Linked DNA regions of Drosophila melanogaster. The protein of the gene in region 2 interacts with the protein of the main gene of each other region in a biochemical or structural test. Each region holds a gene or a part of one and is shown on either strand. Other genes may lie near its edges.

Region 1 (4,624 bases), on a different chromosome or scaffold from region 2:
TTGTGAAGTGTACTAATATCTTGGCGGATGCTGAGCGTCCCCACGTCTACGTCCGAAATATTTGGTAGATGTGGAGCCGATGCACTGCCCACACAGTGGAGCATGGAGTGAAAATGAGCTCCGATCTCGATTTCTTTATGTTTCCGAAGCGTGTTTATGTGGCGGGCATTCCAAAACCGAAGCCCACTGCTAATAAGGTCGAAACGCTCGAAAAAGTGAGAGAGACTGAAAATAACAACAGCTTTAAACGAGCGCATTGACATTTCGAGATAATGGATAAATAATATACAAAATACGCCCACAAAATGGAGCGACGGCGAAATTTGCCAAACAATCGGACAAAAAATGTGTAGAAAACAGGACAAAAGCCAGAGAAATTATGACAAAACATCGAAAGACGCGAGATATTTAAATCGGTGAAGAGAAGAGCGAGGAAAGAGCGTAACAAAAAAAAACAATAAATCTACGTACAGATACCAAACAAATCTTAGCGTACGTTGTATCTTAAAGATAAATCGCATTTGTGGAGGAGGGGAGTGGGAGGCCAGCCGCCAGCTGCTAGGCAAGCAAGAAATATAGAATGAAATATCTATATGTTTGTGTACACAGAGAATAATATAGTATTTTTTTGATAAACAGTAATATAAATAATGCAGTACTTCTTGATTACATAATCAAATACTATACATTGTTGTTGAATGGAACCCTTTGCTCAGGTTTATATCCATATACAAATACAAAAAAAAGCATCATCGTGAAAAGCGAATTATGCTAATCTGACTAGTCCTAAGATTTCGCTAGCACGTCATAAGATATAGCCTAGTGATCTATTATAATCCAAATTTTTTCTCTGTGGACCAGCGTAGTCAGGGGCAGACATCAAACGGCAGACGTCGACGCTGGCGCCGGCAGCGCGATGAGGTAATTTTCAGCTTGTTTTCTAAAACGCTCGACATCCGAAATGGGGAAAAGGGTTTTCCGATGGGTTTTTGGCGCGCATCGCGCAGGCGCAACGTGCATTTGGCGTTTGAACTTAGTTACACAATGGAACTGCCTTTTTGTGGCACATATTCCACTCGGAATGGATAAAAATAACACCATATGTCACACACTTATGACCGCGCACTCTCGTCATGTATATACCTTCTTTAATTCCCACAATTGGGCTGGAAACTCTTTTGATATTTGAACTTGAACGATATGCACGATATGCGATATTCATATATGTACGAATCGCCTATACATATATATGGGTAGATATATGTATATATATATATATTTCAATAGCGATATCGGGCGCGGCACAATCGAACGAATTGGCACCGACGACGGACGAAACTCGAATGAGCGGGCCATAGAAGCGAGTGGTTCGCTCGGTTCCATGGGCAGTGTGAGCAGCATGAGCAACAGATGGGAGAGCCGCGAAGAGAGCCACCTGCTGCTAGGCTTCTCTCCTCTCTGATTCTTCCGATTCTCCTGATCGCCGTCTGCAAATGTAAACAAAACAAAAGGTGCCAGCCAGAGGGAGGGCGGTGAAATGAAGGGGCAGCGGAGGAGAAGGTAGTGGCCACAAGGTGATGGACCCGTGCCAGTGGTGACTAATCTTTTGTTGCCCAACTTATGGCTCTTTCTTTCTTCTCAAAAGTGAGCAGAGAGGAAGCGAGAAATTGGAAGAGGAAGTGCGCTTAGTCACATGGGGTTTTCTAAGAAATGGACATTACTCCTGCTTTTCAAGGGCTAAGCTAGTCAAGCGATTGGAGCGTTGTAAGTATTAGTATTTTGAAATGTTTTGGTAATGACGTTTTGTTTTGATGATGTTATATGACCCAAACATTTCTTATCTATAATATCAATGACTCTTTGACGGACTAGATTATTCCCCAAAAGGAATGCTTCTAAACAATCAACAATATTAACGTAATCTTTATGGGTTCAAATCTCTATAGATACTATAATCTAAACAGGACCAGTCTCTTTTTAGGAAAGTATCTGCATTTAAAACTCTTACACAAACAGAATACATGAGAAATTTCAATCTCAGTTGAAATAATTGAATACAACAGTTTCCAAAAACGTGCATAAACAAAGGAGGCAAAATAATAGCCTGTTGACTTCAATTAGGTCCAATTATTGACGCAATTGAGGGCCTGATCCCGGGAAGAGTGAATCTCTATGCCACTGACAGCGGGATGTAGGCACGAGTCTTGTGGGTCCTCGTCTCGGATCTTTGAGGGTTGCAGTTGCACAGCTAACTCCACAATTAACTTGAGAATTGAAGGCAATTGCCAACTCCCGCGAATCCGGCGCTTCTTCTTCTTCTTCTTCAGCAACCGGGGGTTATCTTATCGCGTATGGAATGTACCCCATATACATATACACCATGCTATTCTGCACGCTCATCCAGCTGCTCAGATAAAGCCGTCAAACCAAACCAACTGCTGTGCTGATAATGCGAGGCAGTCGCAGTTGGACTCTCGTTAATTGAATTATATTCGCAGCTTTGGCTAAAAAAAAAATGTTGCACTTTAATTAGCATAAAACGTAGACGATGCTTACAAGCAAACAAACGAACAAACATACAAATGCGGGCGTTCCCTTTTTTTGCCCCCTTTTGTTGTTACACTGGAAACTTGGTTAAAAGGGCGGAATTCGCGTGACCGACAAAAACAAATGTGCGGGACATGTGGGAGAGACCAAAATCCGGACAGTCGGCGCCAACAACTGGGGGTAGGGATAACGATGATGACTCCACCCCGGAGGAGCACCCACTAGGCGGCAACAACAAAATGTGCGAACGAATCGAAATGAGTTCTTGTTGGCCAGGCCGCAGCTGAATCTCCACTGGCTTTGTTTGACGCGTTTTCATGCCGCGGGAAAGGGGCTTTAAACTGATTTGTGCACTTGGGGTTTTAAACATTGGTTAACTTACAGAAACACACGGCGAAAAGGGCTTAAAGAGAGCTAAAATCGAGTAAATAAAACTAACACTTTACAAAATATTCCGTAGTTAAGACAGTGTGACCGTGCGTCAAGCAGCTATCGATAAGTCATTGCGGCTATCGGAACCAATTAGCGTTTGGGTCACATAATTACAAAATAAATAAAAAATATATAAATTTACAAGTTCTAATCATAGTTTGCCTATACTTCTATAATATTTGAAATTACTACGGCAAGCAAAAAGTAGTCTGCACACAGAGCTGTTATGCCAATGGCAGACTGTTAAGTGCAGGGTCACCCCAAATGTAAAGGCATGAGCGCCAAATTTAAAATAAAACCCCCAACTAATGCAGTCTAACTAAAACAAGGCTTAAAGATTAAGCGATTTGTAGTCGAATCCTATAAAAACAACATATCCACATGATTAATGAAGGTTACAAGCCCCACCAAAGCGCACCCCCACACAAACTTGATAAATTTGTCTGGCTTTCCTGAATTTTCTCCGAGACGATCATCGTTTCCGTTTTGATTTCGGCGATTGGAGGGCAACCAAGTGTGCAACTTACAACCCTCAGAAAATAGACGAGCAATCTAAGGGCCGAAAAACAAAAACTAGCCAAAATCATAAAAATAAGCAAGCGAATTCATGACTTCGCCAAAGTCAACGGACCGCACATAGCGCGCGTCTTTGGGGGCCCTTTCACTGGGGTTGCTTTCCCTATAAGGCAGCGAAATAAAAATAAATTTAATGTTCCTGTTTTTTTCCCTTCTCCTTTCTCGACTTGTCAAGGATATCATATGCGCGAATACATGGGTATATGTGTACGCGTAATTTATGCTGCAAAACATCTCGAGCATAAACAGGAAACAAGCGTCCACGGTCCTTCTTTCGCAACACTCTTAAAAAATGAGAAGTAATTAAAGACAAGTTGCAAAATTATCAAAGGGGGGGATAAACATTCCTTTTGCTACTATCAAACTTGAATTTAATTATTGGAAATTTCAAGAGAAACATTTTAAAGCGAACTTTCAGAAAACCTTCATACATAAAACACTATATTCTTCATATAAAAATTTCTCTCTGTGCACAATGCCCGCCCCTGCGCGCTTGAGAAATTTCTTGAAACGAAGTCAAGTTCGTGGCTTGGGCGCAAATTCAATTAATTTCAATCGAACGCCTGTCGTTCTGGGCATCCGGCATTGGGCATTGGGCATTGAGCATTGATGTCCCGCGATTCGAGGCCTGCCAAACCGATACGCAGATAGAAGATGCAGGATGTGCAGATATGGACTCACCCCTCGGGCCGATAAATCTCGGAACTGGCACACTCGCTTTACACACACGCCCGTTATGACTGCTGGCCAAGGAGGAGCAAGCGAAATGGATGAGCAGAACGCATCGACATGTGTCCTGGTGCTCCTGCTGCGTCATTGCTTTAGTTCCGGTTGAGTTTGTGCCAGCGCTCGCCAAGATTTATGTCACTTTGTTGGCCCAACAAAGAGGCCAGGGAGTTTGGTTTTCGGTAATGGCAAATAAAAACCCGATTCGCAAATCCTTTCCTCGAGTGACCCACTTGGGATTTGGGACTTGGGACTGACCAGCAGCGAGGAGCAACGCTAATTGAGCGATCTTCCGGCTGGCTAATGGGTTAAACCGGCCAAGCCGAATGCCCATATATCATGT
Region 2 (4,928 bases):
AAGTATGCCTCCGACAGAGGAGCTAAGTGATAAGCGGCATTTGGCAATGCTGATAAAATAAGTAAACTAATTGTGGGTCCGCTTTTGAAGGACAGTGCCTGGGATGCAGAAACAGAGGAGGGGAGGGGTGCGGGTGCCAGGAACGGACGGAGCACGGACGGCTTGCTGTAGAACGACTTACCAACCCTCTGATAGAGCGAGCGCCGCTTCACTTGGCGTTTAAGCTTCTATATCAATTATTTCCAAGTAACCACATACAAATGATAAGAACAAACATTGCGACATTTTGGCGGAACAAAACAGAACGTAACATAAACGCAAGGCAAAGAATAGTCGAGAAGAAACGAAGATAAACATATAAAATAATGTATCGCGCGGTGCGATTTGGTTGGGTTTTCAGGCGGCAGCGTGTAAGAGAGAAGAAAGAGCAGTTGGAGAGGTGAGAGAACGTAGAAATTATCATCACATCTAGCAGTTGGACTACAAGGGTGCGGTGCTGGGCACAGGGATCCATGGGCTTCCAAGGCGCACTCACCTCGGTCTCATCATCCACCACCTCTTCCACGACCTCGGCCTTGTACTCAAGCAGCAGATCCTTGATAGGCTTGGCATCCAGATTTCTGTTGATGAAAGCGTGCTGCATCAGCACATCCGTCGTGGGCCTCACCTGCGGATCCTGTTCAGAAGGAATACAAAAGTAAAGTTAGAATGGAATGTAAATAACAGATTTTAGGGTTACCCACTTTGACTAAGGACTTCTTCAGGAAGTCGTTAAACTCCTTGCTCCATCGAGAAGGCTGCTCCAGCTTGGGCGGCTCGCTCTTTTGTATTTTCAAGAGCACTCGCATGGGCGACATCTCGCTGTTGGGCGGCTCCATCTGCGCCAGCTCAATGAGCGTGATGCCCAGTGACCAGATGTCCACTTTGTGATCGTACGGGTTGTCCCGGAAAGTTTCGCAAAGCACCAGCTCCGGGGCCATCCAGTAGGGAGTGCCAATGAAGGTGTCGTGCTTTTGCATGGTGTGCTTGTTTTTGGCCGAAACGCCAAAGTCCGCTGAAATGAGTTGATTTCACTTTGAGATCGTCTCGGCTTAGGAAAAGGGCACCGATAACTTACCCAACTTGACGCCACCTTCCATTGTGAGAAGCACGTTTCCTGCCTTCAAATCACGATGGATGACTTTGTTGCGATGCAGGAAGGTGAGACCCTCGGTCATGTGCTTGCAAACATAGGCAATCTGCGGCTCAGTCAGCGGCTTTTCCAGCTCCACCATAATGCTATCCAGGGCCCCTCCGTCGCAGTACTCGATGAGCATCTGAGAGGAATTTCAAGGAATGATTCATAATCCCGATAAAACTTGAAGTACATCGATATACTCACCCACAGCTTATCATCGATGGAAAAGGCCTCATACAGCTCCACTATATTTGGGTGCTTGATCTCCGACAGAATGTCGATCTCGACCATGTGATCGCTAAGGTTCTCCTCGTCCTCCAGCTGACACATTTTTGCGGCAGCAAATCGCTTCTGCTCCTTGTGCTGAGCCTTGTAAACCTTGCCAAAGGCTCCGTCGCCCAGTTCGCCGACCATTTCCCAGAACTCCGCCGGATCCGTGTCCATCTTGATGTTGTTGTACAGGCGCTTCTTCTTGGCCTCACCCCCGCCGAGGTGGAAGACCTTCTTCAGGTTGGTGATAAACGACATGTTGGCTCTCTTGTAGATTTCCCCTGCTTCTGCTGACGATGATGATTTCTTGGGTTGAGTCTACATAGTGAGCTCCTGGGCGAGAGTCCAAGCAGGAAAACTAGATTTGGTGAAAGCTGCGGACATTGGCAAGCGTTTATTGATTGAACGGGCAGGTGTATATCACAGACTTGGCAGGGTTTCAAGTCTAGCTCTAAGTTTCAATCTGAATCTCATTCTGAATCGGAATCCGGGGTGGAACTGCCCCGTTCTAGAACGCAGACCATAGCCCAGATATCGTGGCCTAAACTCACCTTCTTTGCAGCACTCTCTCCTCGGTTCCTTCTCTTTTTTTGTTCAGCGAAATAGGCCAAAAAGCGGGGATTGTGGGCTTGGTTGGCCCGTCTTTAGCGCTTCTGTGTTCTGTATGTTTTATAATTTAATTAGCAGCTAGCGAGCTCTAATATTTGTAGAAAAAACACGTACGAATGGGAGGGAAATGATTACAAACGAGAAAAAGTCAAAGACGTAGACAAAAGAGCGTGCGTGTGTGTGTGTGCGTGTGTCTCTGCTTGCGAGTATTTGTGAGCTGGTCTCTGGGCTTTTAAGCCCCTCTCCCCCTTCAAGACGGACACCCGAACACCTATTTACGCCGAAATTGCAGCGAAACCCGGGATTTACGGATGCCAAAGCTGACTAATTCGTAGAGGCGCCTTCAATTCGCACTGCTCAGCTCGTAATTCGTGAAATTTGTAAACAACACGCGCACTTTTAACTAAATTCAACATCCCATTGATGATTACGGAGCAAGTATAGCGGCGAATGGGCGTGAAACTTGAGGACGCACGCAAACGGAATGGGGTATTACCTCATTCGTACACAGTCACTTTCACGGTTTTCGGCTTTATCTATCACTGCACTATCGCTATTTTGACTGTTTTTGCCGCACACTAAGCCATTTGAAGCGTATTTTACCCCGAAAATGCTTGGAAATTTCTCTCGCGCAAACGCTTCGTGTTGCCACTGAGCTGCAATTGCACCCTGTTTGGCGATCTGGCAGCGCCGGCGAAAAATGGCCGTTTAGGTCATCTGTGCCAGAAGAGAGCAGCACTATTTGCCTTCGCCAAGGGCAAAAACAGAAACAACACACACTTATGCAAACACACACGCAGAGGGGGAAATAATAAGTTAAGTCGGCTGCTGCTTAGTTACTTTGCTTTACAGCTGGTTTTCGGCAGGTGCAGCCTCAGCAAACGTTCTTTTCCGCACTTCCGCTGTCCGATTGCGCACTTTCTAACTGTTTGCACGGCGCTTTTCCTCTCATGATTTTTCCACCAGCATTGTGTGGCCGTTCAACAAAACTCCAAAAATACCAAGGATGGGTGATTTTATACACCAGCAATCCGGTCCTCCTATACCCTTCCCTTTATAACATATAGAACTATTAGGTTTTCTTAACAGCTGTAGAAAATCGATATCAATTCACTACTTTCCAGAACACGACAACTTTATTGTTCTAAAATGTAAGTGTAGGAAAATAATGAATATGTTATATTTAATATGCTGTATTCCGAGTCCGAGTGTGACCAGTTAATCATTTTTAGAAAAGCATGCTTTTGCTTGCCTTGAAATAAATTCAGAAAGCGAGGCGTCGGCCACACTGTAAATCGTTTCTGCTTGTCATTTTGGCCTGAGTTTTTTGCCGCAAATTGCAGGTAATTTAGCGAAAAACAGGAGTCGCAGGAAGCCAAACCCGTCGAAAACAAATCAGTCCGGTACCTATCAATCGGCGCAGAGGTCATAGTAAGCCCCCGAACCGAAAACCCAGAAAAAGCACAAACATGCCGTCGCAGGAGGTGAGCGTAAACAAAGTGATAGTGCATCCATTGGTTCTGCTGTCCGTGGTGGATCACTTCAACCGGATGGGAAAGATTGGCAACCAGAAGCGCGTAGTGGGAGTCCTTCTGGGCTGCTGGCGATCCAAGGGAGTGCTCGATGTGTCCAACAGCTTCGCAGGTTAGTACTGCCTTTGAATATCCAAAGTCGTGGCCATAAAACAAAAGAATTCCCTCCCGACTTCCAGTGCCCTTCGACGAGGATGACAAGGACAAGTCGGTGTGGTTCCTGGACCACGACTACCTGGAGAATATGTACGGCATGTTCAAAAAGGTGAACGCCAGGGAACGGGTTGTGGGATGGTATCACACAGGTCCCAAGCTCCACCAAAACGACATAGCCATCAACGAGCTGGTCCGGCGCTATTGTCCCAACTCCGTGCTGGTCATCATCGACGCCAAGCCCAAGGATTTGGGCCTGCCCACAGAGGCGTACATATCGGTGGAGGAAGTCCATGACGACGGCTCTCCGACCAGCAAAACTTTCGAGCATGTGCCCAGCGAGATTGGCGCCGAGGAGGCGGAGGAGGTGGGCGTGGAGCATCTGCTGCGTGACATCAAGGACACAACCGTGGGCAGCCTGTCGCAAAAGATCACCAACCAGCTCATGGGTCTGAAAGGCCTGAATGCCCAGCTGCGGGACATAAAGCAGTATCTGCAGCGCGTCGGCGACAGCAAGATGCCAATCAACCACCAGATTGTCTACCAGCTGCAGGACATCTTCAACCTGCTGCCCGATATAACCAATGACCAGTTCACGGGCACAATGTATGTGAAGACCAACGACCAAATGCTAGTCGTCTACCTGGCCTCCATGGTGCGCTCGATCATTGCCCTGCACAACCTGATCAACAACAAGCTGGCCAACCGCGACGCCGAGGAGGGCAAGAGCGACAGCAAGGAGGCCAAGGAGAAGAATAAGGATAGCAAGGATAAGGACAACAAGGAGACCAAGGACAAGGACGGCAAGAAGGCGGAGGAGAAGGCCGACAAGGGCAAGGACGAAGGCGGCAAGGGTTCGCGCAAATAGGAGCGGAAGAAAAAGCGCAAACCCCGTCGCAAACGAAAGAAGCAGCGGGCGCAGGACTAGCTGCTGCTTCTTCTGTTCTCCAGGAAGTGGAACTCATCTGCAGACCATACGGCGAGGGTGTGCAGTGGCCTCAGAAATCAAGCATTGCTACCATTCATCGTTCATTTTCCACACGAAATTAAGCTCCCTCTTATTATTTCGCGTAACTAACTAATGGCAAGTTTATGTAATTAAAAATTAAATAATTTAAATACTCCTATTGTTTGCTTTCCTCTAATATTGCTAGAAGCAGCATACCTAGTATTAAAACCGCTCAGGC
Region 3 (7,258 bases), on a different chromosome or scaffold from region 2:
ATCTTTCTTTTCTTGCAAAACAAAAATAGATTAAAGAAAAATATTTTATATAATATATTTTTTCTCTTTTTGTTTGTTGCTCTCTCTCAAGTTAATTTAAGAAACAATTAATCAAGTTCTTATTTAATTATACAAATTTAAAAAAAATAGTAATTATATAATAATAAAAATAATAATTATAACGGGGGAAAATGCAAATAGTTGTTTGTTTTGTTGTAGTAGCTGTTCTTGTTGTTGTTGATGTTGTTGTTGTTTATTGTTGCTGATGTTCCTTTTCAATATCTATTACTATTCGTTCCGTTTTCTCAATGAATCCATTGGGAAAAGGAGAAATGTATATTTTCTATTGCTTCTGCTTGGATTTAGACATATTTTCCGATAGCTTGATCCTCATTCATTTGCTGATTGTCCATATAGATGCGGTCCTTCCTAACCGTCTTCTCATTCTATTCATATTGATGAGTGCTGTGTCCGGCTAAATTAGTTTCCATTAATTTATTTTTTCTTTTTTTCTTTTTGCTTATTCTTGATTCTTCTATACAAAAGCTGCGAGACAAAACGACGGTCAAACAAAGTATATTTCATTTCAATTCACTTTAGGAGGCAGGAAGTGTTCTTATGGGTGGAAAAGGGTCGTCGCTGGTGGGATAGTTAGCAATAGGCTTTTGCCAGCGACCGGAATTATATTTGTTGCTTATTCTTCATCATCATCTTCATCATTATCAATCATCATTATTATTATCTGCTCTTGCTGTAGTTATATCTTTTTCTTTTTCTTTCTGGAGTCTCACCGCTCCCTCTCTCTTTCCCGCGCACTATCGATCTCTGATCTTTGATAGCTTTTACATGTTCTCAAACTGATCGACGCGACGCTTTGTGTTGCCCTTACGAATCTCGCGGAGCGTCTTGTACTTGTCACGTCCCTGGCGAACGTTCTCGCGATGAATCTTATCGTTTGCCGTCTCTTTCGTCTCGTCGCGAGACTGCGCCAAATCTTGTTTCAGAGCCTAGATATAGATATATATATATATCAAATTGATATTGTTAGTTGAGTGGAGCATAAGGGACTCGATTTCGAACCCACCTTGAGCTGATCGTGCAAGCGTTCGTTGCGCTCGGCCAGCGTGCGTCTGTCCTCGATGGGGTCCTTGATATGCTCGTCGGTGTCCAGGTCGCGCGACACATCGCCACCGGCATCGCCGTTCGTCAGCTCCTCCTCGTTCTCGTTCTCATCCTCGGCCACGTGGTGATGCTGCGGCGTTGTCGACGCGGCCAGCAGAGCGGCAGCGGCTTCAGCCTACAAAAACGACAATGTTCAGTATAAAGTTGAACACAAAATGGTATCAAGACTATATTCATTGGTTTTTTCGATGCCAACAAATAGTGAAAAAAGTGTACCGCAATGACCTGCTTGCGTCGGGCGTCTTCCACTTCGTCCTGCAGACGCTTTGTCTCCTCATCCTTGGCGTTGACCTCGTCCTGAATGCGCTGCACCTCCATCTGCTTGGCCATGATCTCCTCCTCGAGCTTGAGCTTCTCGACGGCCTCCATATTCTTGGCCTCCTCGAGGCGCTGCAGCATCGCCTGCAGCTCCTTCTGGCGCAGCTCCAGCTCATCCTTGGCGGCCTGCAGCTGCTTCAGCTGCTCCTCCAGCCGGCGGATCATGTCCTGCGCCTCAAGCAGATCGCGCTGCGAACGCTCCATGTCCTCCTGCATCTGCTTTAGCCGATCCTCGTACTCCTGCTGCTTCTTTTCAGCGCGTTCGCGTGCGGCCAGCGCCAGCTGCAGCTTCTCACTGCAAAAACGAAAGAACACCGAAAATAAGAAGGGAATCATCTGCTTGCAGATTATAGCCTGTGCATGAATCAGACTCTCATGGAAATGATATGCTCGAATCATTATGTTTCGGGTCATTGAAACGTTGTATTTCGTTGAAATTCCCAAAGTTTTGATTCATTCAAACAGACATGACTTGAAATCCGTACTAACCGTTCCTGCTGTTTGGCATTCTTCTCCTCGCGCGCCTGCGCCTTCATCTGCTGCACATCGATGGTGTCCGGCTTGCGGCGACGCATGTACAGCTCGTGGTTGCCCATGCAGAGGGCCAGAATGCGCTTGTTGATGCGGACACGTGGCGCAAAGAACATAAAGTCCGGAGCCTTCTTGTCGATCGGCTTGATGATGAACTTCTTCTCCGAGAACGAAATGTTGCGAATCTCGGACCATGGGAAACCAATTTTCGGCGTCAACCTATCGTCCTGCTCGTAAATGTTCAGACCCAGTGCGTCTACGCCCAGCCAAAGATCCGTGCCCTTCTTGTTGCGGATCTCAAAGTAGTTAACGCCGTACATCTCCAGGTCTTGGGCGATCTTCAGATACTCCATCATGGCATCCTCGCGCAGCATGCTGCGATGCTCCTGCCACCAGGTCATAATCGACTGCTCCCACTCGTCCTTGGACATCTTGTGCTGGTCGATGACGCGCTGCGGCAGCAGGCGATCGTTGGCCAGAAAGCCGGCTGTGTGGGTGGTCTTATTGTGGTCACCATGACGCGCCTGGACGGCGTACGAGGCGAGCAGCACGGATGTCTCTGGCGGACAATAGATCTCGTCGGTCAGTATGGCATTCTTCACCTGCAGGTAGAACAGACGCAGTGTAATGTCCTGGATCAGCTCCTCGGCCACATCCTCGGGATAGAATTTGGCACGGAACCTAAACTGCAAGGGATTCTCCTTCTTCACGTCCTGGTTCATCACCTGTGAAAAGCGAAAACATATCACTATTAGATGCGAATGCACGCTAAAGTTTACAAACTGCAAATGGATTTGTATACGAAAAAAAAAAAAACGTTTGGTTTTCCCGATTCAATAATGAAATAATAAACATAATATCATAGATAAAAAAGTGCATGCGGCGTCTGAGTGTTACCCATGTCGAAAACGGCATTGATCCAGTCTGTTTGTTGTTGTGGTGCAGCATTAAATCATATACAGAGATTGCATTTGTATTAGTAAATCAAGTCTCTAACAATCGCTAATTAACTTAAGCTAAGCATTCGAAGGCGAGGCGATACAATACAATTATAGAATTGGCATTTTACAGGATAATTCGGTTTATGTTCTAGCTGGGACTTTTTGTGGATGTACTTTGCTGGATTGGCATATATATATATATATAAATATATTCTCGATCTCTGCCCACCATATCATCGGCGTCGTCATCCTCTTCGCTCGTCTCTAAATGATTTACTCCATTGCTGTCGGCTGTCTTTTTGTCCACATACTTCTTTACACGCTTTAAATATTTTATTGTCTTTATGGCCGGCGATTCGGGCTATATTATGTATGTACCATACATTACATTTATAAATATTATGATGTACATGCAATCTTAGTAAATAATTTAAATTTATATTCTTTTGAACTATAAACTTCAAACTTTATTTGTATGAAATTTATAGTCGCCTACCTTTTTGTACAGCTTGATCCATGTGGAGTCGCCCTTGGAGTCGGTGTACTGGAGTCCAAAGAACCAAACCTCTCGCAGGCCGATCGTCTTCACCACCTGGTCAAACAATTGCTTGCCCGTCGTCGTCGACTGAATGGCGAACTCCAGTTCCGCGTCCATTGTCGTGACGCGCACATTTAGCTGAAATTAGTAAGGGATGTCGTGATATTAAAAAAATATCGTATTAAATGATTAAAATAACGCAAAAATATATATATATATATATATATAAAAGAACAAAGCATTGCCTTTAGAAGGCAAACTAAAAACGAATGAATCAAACAGAATGTTTTATTAATTAAATGTAACTTATTTGTTTCTTTTGCTGCATTTCTTAAGTTAAAAGTGCCATCATCCATGACATGAAAAGCTAACTAGATCAAACTAACTGGGCATGCTCACAAGCCAAATAGAAAAAAAAAAGAGTAAAAAATTGACACCCATCGATGAAGGTGGCGTGCAGAGGAGAATCCCCCACGATTTGTTTAGGGGTCGATGGATTAACGGGATGTGAGCAGGGCACGTGCCAAGAGCTCCCGTTTCGCTTTGGAGGATTGGATTCGATTGCCACGACTTGCATAAGTCGGGCTTTCGACTTAAACGCGCGCACACACACGTTTCAAATGGGTGAAAAATGCTTGAAAAAATGGGGGGAAATGGGGGAAAATGGAGGGCAAAATGGAAAGAGGGAAAATGAAAGCGGGCCGCAGTGAAAAATCACGCTTGGAAAACAGCAAAGCAAAAATCAATCAGGCATGACAATAGCAACAAGCTGGAAATGACCAGGCAGCTCTAGATAGTGGAAATAAGTGGGGGGAAAACACAGGGTGTGGGGTGTGCGTGTGTGTGTGTGTGTGTGTGTATGGGAATATAGACCGGATGGCCAGCGAGTGGTAATCGGTGGTTATACAAGAGAGAGATAGAAAGAGAGAGCTCAGCCGCTATCTATCCCACTGCGCGTGCCACTTGACCAACTTGCAATGTGAAATGGCGGAAAAGCTAGGGAAATTCCACCCACATCGCCACCCAACGTCGGACACACAGCACATGCACATGTCAACCTGTACTAACTACACTACATACCATTGCGCAATCGCCACATTTGGATCAAAGTAAATGCGATCGTAGATCAAAATTGGGGTTAATATGCAGCGCAGACAATAGAGTATATATAACTAACAATTCAGTTCGCTTTTTACAACATGGCCAACAAATGTAAGTCTTACATTAAAAACCATTCGTTTAAAATATTCCTTTACTTTATTGAAATATACAAAGGAATTTTGCTAAATACCTAAATCAGCTACAAATTTTTTTAAACTATTTTATTTCCTATCTGTTAAGATTGATTGAACCAATTTCAGTTTTAAAGGCCCTTTGAAAATCCGCTGGTTTTTGTTACCATTTTCTGGGCATGGGAAAAAACAATGTGTGGTAGACCCAACAAATTAAAATTTTTTAACTTCATCATTTTGTTTGGCTCGGTTTTGCTTTTCAGTCCGAGGGCTCATTGTTTTGTTTTCGCTTTCGGCTGCTGAATGCAAATCAAACGTGACACAATGTTAGGAAATTGAAAACGTTTTTCATTTCAATCCAATTAACGTTTTTGGGTTAATGCAACCACCGTGGTTTCTGCTTTGTTTTTTTCTCCCCCTGGCCGCTGAGAATGAAAAACACAACAGCTATTTGCAACGGAAGTTGGAGCATAATAACCAGTTTTTAAAAAAGAAAAAAAAATGGTTTTTGACTTGAAACCACAAAAGTGCAGCACATGAAAAAAAAAAAAAAGAAAAGGGGGATGCGCTTTTCCAGCTTAGCAGGAAAAACGTGGAAAATAGTGAGCAGTGTGGTCCGTACCGTTTTCCGTTTGACGCTGACTCCGCCGTAACGCGGCAAACGGACGCGGCTGTCGGAGACGACGACCATTTTGGGCACCGAAAACGGATTGCGCAGTAGCTTTTGAATTATTACGCCTTTTCAATGCAAATCTCCGTCTGGGAAATATATATATATTCTTGAGCAGCCACAAGCTACGCGGGAAAACCAACCGACCAACGCGACACGATGGTTAAAAGCGGAAAAGCGACGATTCGATTCTGTTGTCCAGCGGCAACTGAGGAAAATGGAAAAGTCACGGCACGTTTTTAAGTCGCCAAATGGGGAAGACAAGCGCAAAAGGCAAAAGGAAAATAAATGCTAGAAGAGAAGAAAAACAAAAAACAACACTGGGAAAGCGGCGGCGGCGGCAGAACGCAAAAGAAACGCTAAGGGAACACACAACACAACACAAAATGAACTTAATTTCTGCCCAAGAAAATGGGAAAATTTTTATCCCAGTCATTCGTTGTCAAGTTAATATAAATTGCATGTTAATTATGCATCTAAAAGTGGACAGCCGCAACCATAAAGAAAAGAACTGCTGACCATAGAGGTCAAATGGGTTTTCCAGAACGAGAGAAGTATGTGAATGCAATGGGGGTCAAGTAAATAGTGCAATATGGTAAAATATATTTAAAAAATATATATATAAATCAAAACACAACCAATTCTCTAAATGAATTATTGATTGAATTAGCTGTATAGTTAGCTAATTTTTAGTTTGAACACTAGTCATTTGGCCAGCGCTGTGCGCCGAAGAGCACGAGAGAGCGCCGTAGAAACGCAGCCCCAAGGTAGGCAAACAAATCAGCGTCAATCATACGACGCGTTGGCTGTCAATTCTGTTTTATTGATGCCGCTTTTGGGCCTCAAATAGCAATTAAACCCCTCCCCCCTCCCCACTCCGCACTCACATATCAAGCTATTCAAACAGACCAATAAACATCTAGTTATGGATGAGAAAAACTATAGCGAAAAAGGGAAAGTTATGGAGAAACCATTCAAGCACGATGTGCATCGACTACTGCATTGGAACAGAGAAATTTCCCTAAAAGGCAAACGACTTCTTAAAGCTTTGTGCAAAAATCACCTTTCAATCATCCAAATTGTATTATAAAATCACTTCAAATCACGTGTTTGATTGTCATGATGAACTCATAACAAATACATCATTCATTAACAATCAAGTTGAGGCAAAAATGTCATTAGACCATCGCTGGGTGAGATAAGAACTTTTCCGGTTGCCAAAAAAAAAAAAAAAGAAATCACAACATGTCAAAAAGAAATTGGCAAATGCTTTGGTATGAAATAATGATCTACTCATGTGTTCATATCAATGACGTCGTCTTCTAATCCAATTTTTCGCCGTCTGCGTATCTGATGAAATGATGAAATTTTTTTTGGCAAATGTCCAAGAATCAAATACAATTACCAACGTCAACAGTTGGGCCAATATGACGTCTTCGCCTGGCCATCCCCATTCCCCCCCAGAAGAAGTTCTATTAAAAGATGCGATGCGATCCCAACACTCCACAATTGACGACAATTGTAGCTGAAGTGCTCTCTTGATAAGAACACAATTTCCGATAGCTGATAGCTGACAAACTTTTCGTTGTGATTTAATATAACTAATCTTTAATAATTTACTAGGCGCTAGTGCAAAACATTTGTTTTATCAGATTCGTTTGTGGTTTCATTCCAGTGATATATGGTTACCATTATAATGGAATATTTCGAACTTATTATAATACTGTCTAATCAGTACTAATTATTTATTATTTTATAGTTATTGGTTAACTTACCGCTTTTGGAGACATTTTGTTGTTTCGTGTCTTGTCGTACTTATCGAAACGAAATGTTTTCTTTCCAGGAT

The links. The genes of interacting proteins can lie anywhere in the genome.
Region 1: of the proteins of Slik (region 2) and rhea, one has a biochemical effect on the other in vitro, tested with the Drosophila melanogaster proteins (one study listed by BioGRID).
Region 3: of the proteins of Slik (region 2) and Moe, one has a biochemical effect on the other in vitro, tested with the Drosophila melanogaster proteins (one study listed by BioGRID).

What each region holds. Positions count from the first base shown.
Region 1 is NT_037436.4:8,543,395-8,548,018, reverse strand, and holds the start of rhea (rhea), read right to left. Parts: upstream 3,019-4,624; 5' UTR 2,930-3,018; intron 1,345-2,929; exon of another isoform or gene 1,144-1,344; intron 1-1,143.
Region 2 is NT_033778.4:24,399,665-24,404,592, forward strand, and holds the start of Slik (Sterile20-like kinase), read right to left. Parts: upstream 3,017-4,928; 5' UTR 2,897-3,016; intron 2,721-2,896; exon of another isoform or gene 2,171-2,720; intron 2,145-2,170; 5' UTR 1,999-2,144; intron 1,822-1,998; 5' UTR 1,706-1,821; coding exon 1,382-1,705; intron 1,317-1,381; coding exon 1,118-1,316; intron 1,055-1,117; coding exon 744-1,054; intron 677-743; coding exon 536-676; intron 440-535; exon of another isoform or gene 364-439; intron 228-363; coding exon of another isoform or gene 186-227; intron 1-185. Other genes in the region: Rpn8 (regulatory particle non-ATPase 8), read left to right, coding at 3,526-3,700, 3,768-4,609.
Region 3 is NC_004354.4:8,873,105-8,880,362, forward strand, and holds Moe (moesin), read right to left. Parts: upstream 5,622-7,258; 5' UTR 5,434-5,621; coding exon 5,365-5,433; intron 4,058-5,364; exon of another isoform or gene 3,952-4,057; coding exon of another isoform or gene 3,910-3,951; intron 3,649-3,909; coding exon 3,469-3,648; intron 3,334-3,468; coding exon 3,202-3,333; intron 2,956-3,201; coding exon 2,929-2,955; intron 2,918-2,928; exon of another isoform or gene 2,757-2,917; coding exon 1,990-2,756; intron 1,796-1,989; coding exon 1,399-1,795; intron 1,298-1,398; coding exon 1,085-1,297; intron 1,008-1,084; coding exon 843-1,007; 3' UTR 519-842; downstream 1-518. UniProt on the Drosophila melanogaster protein: Involved in connections of major cytoskeletal structures to the plasma membrane. Together with wgn, involved in control of axon targeting of R8 and R2-R5 photoreceptors, independent of egr.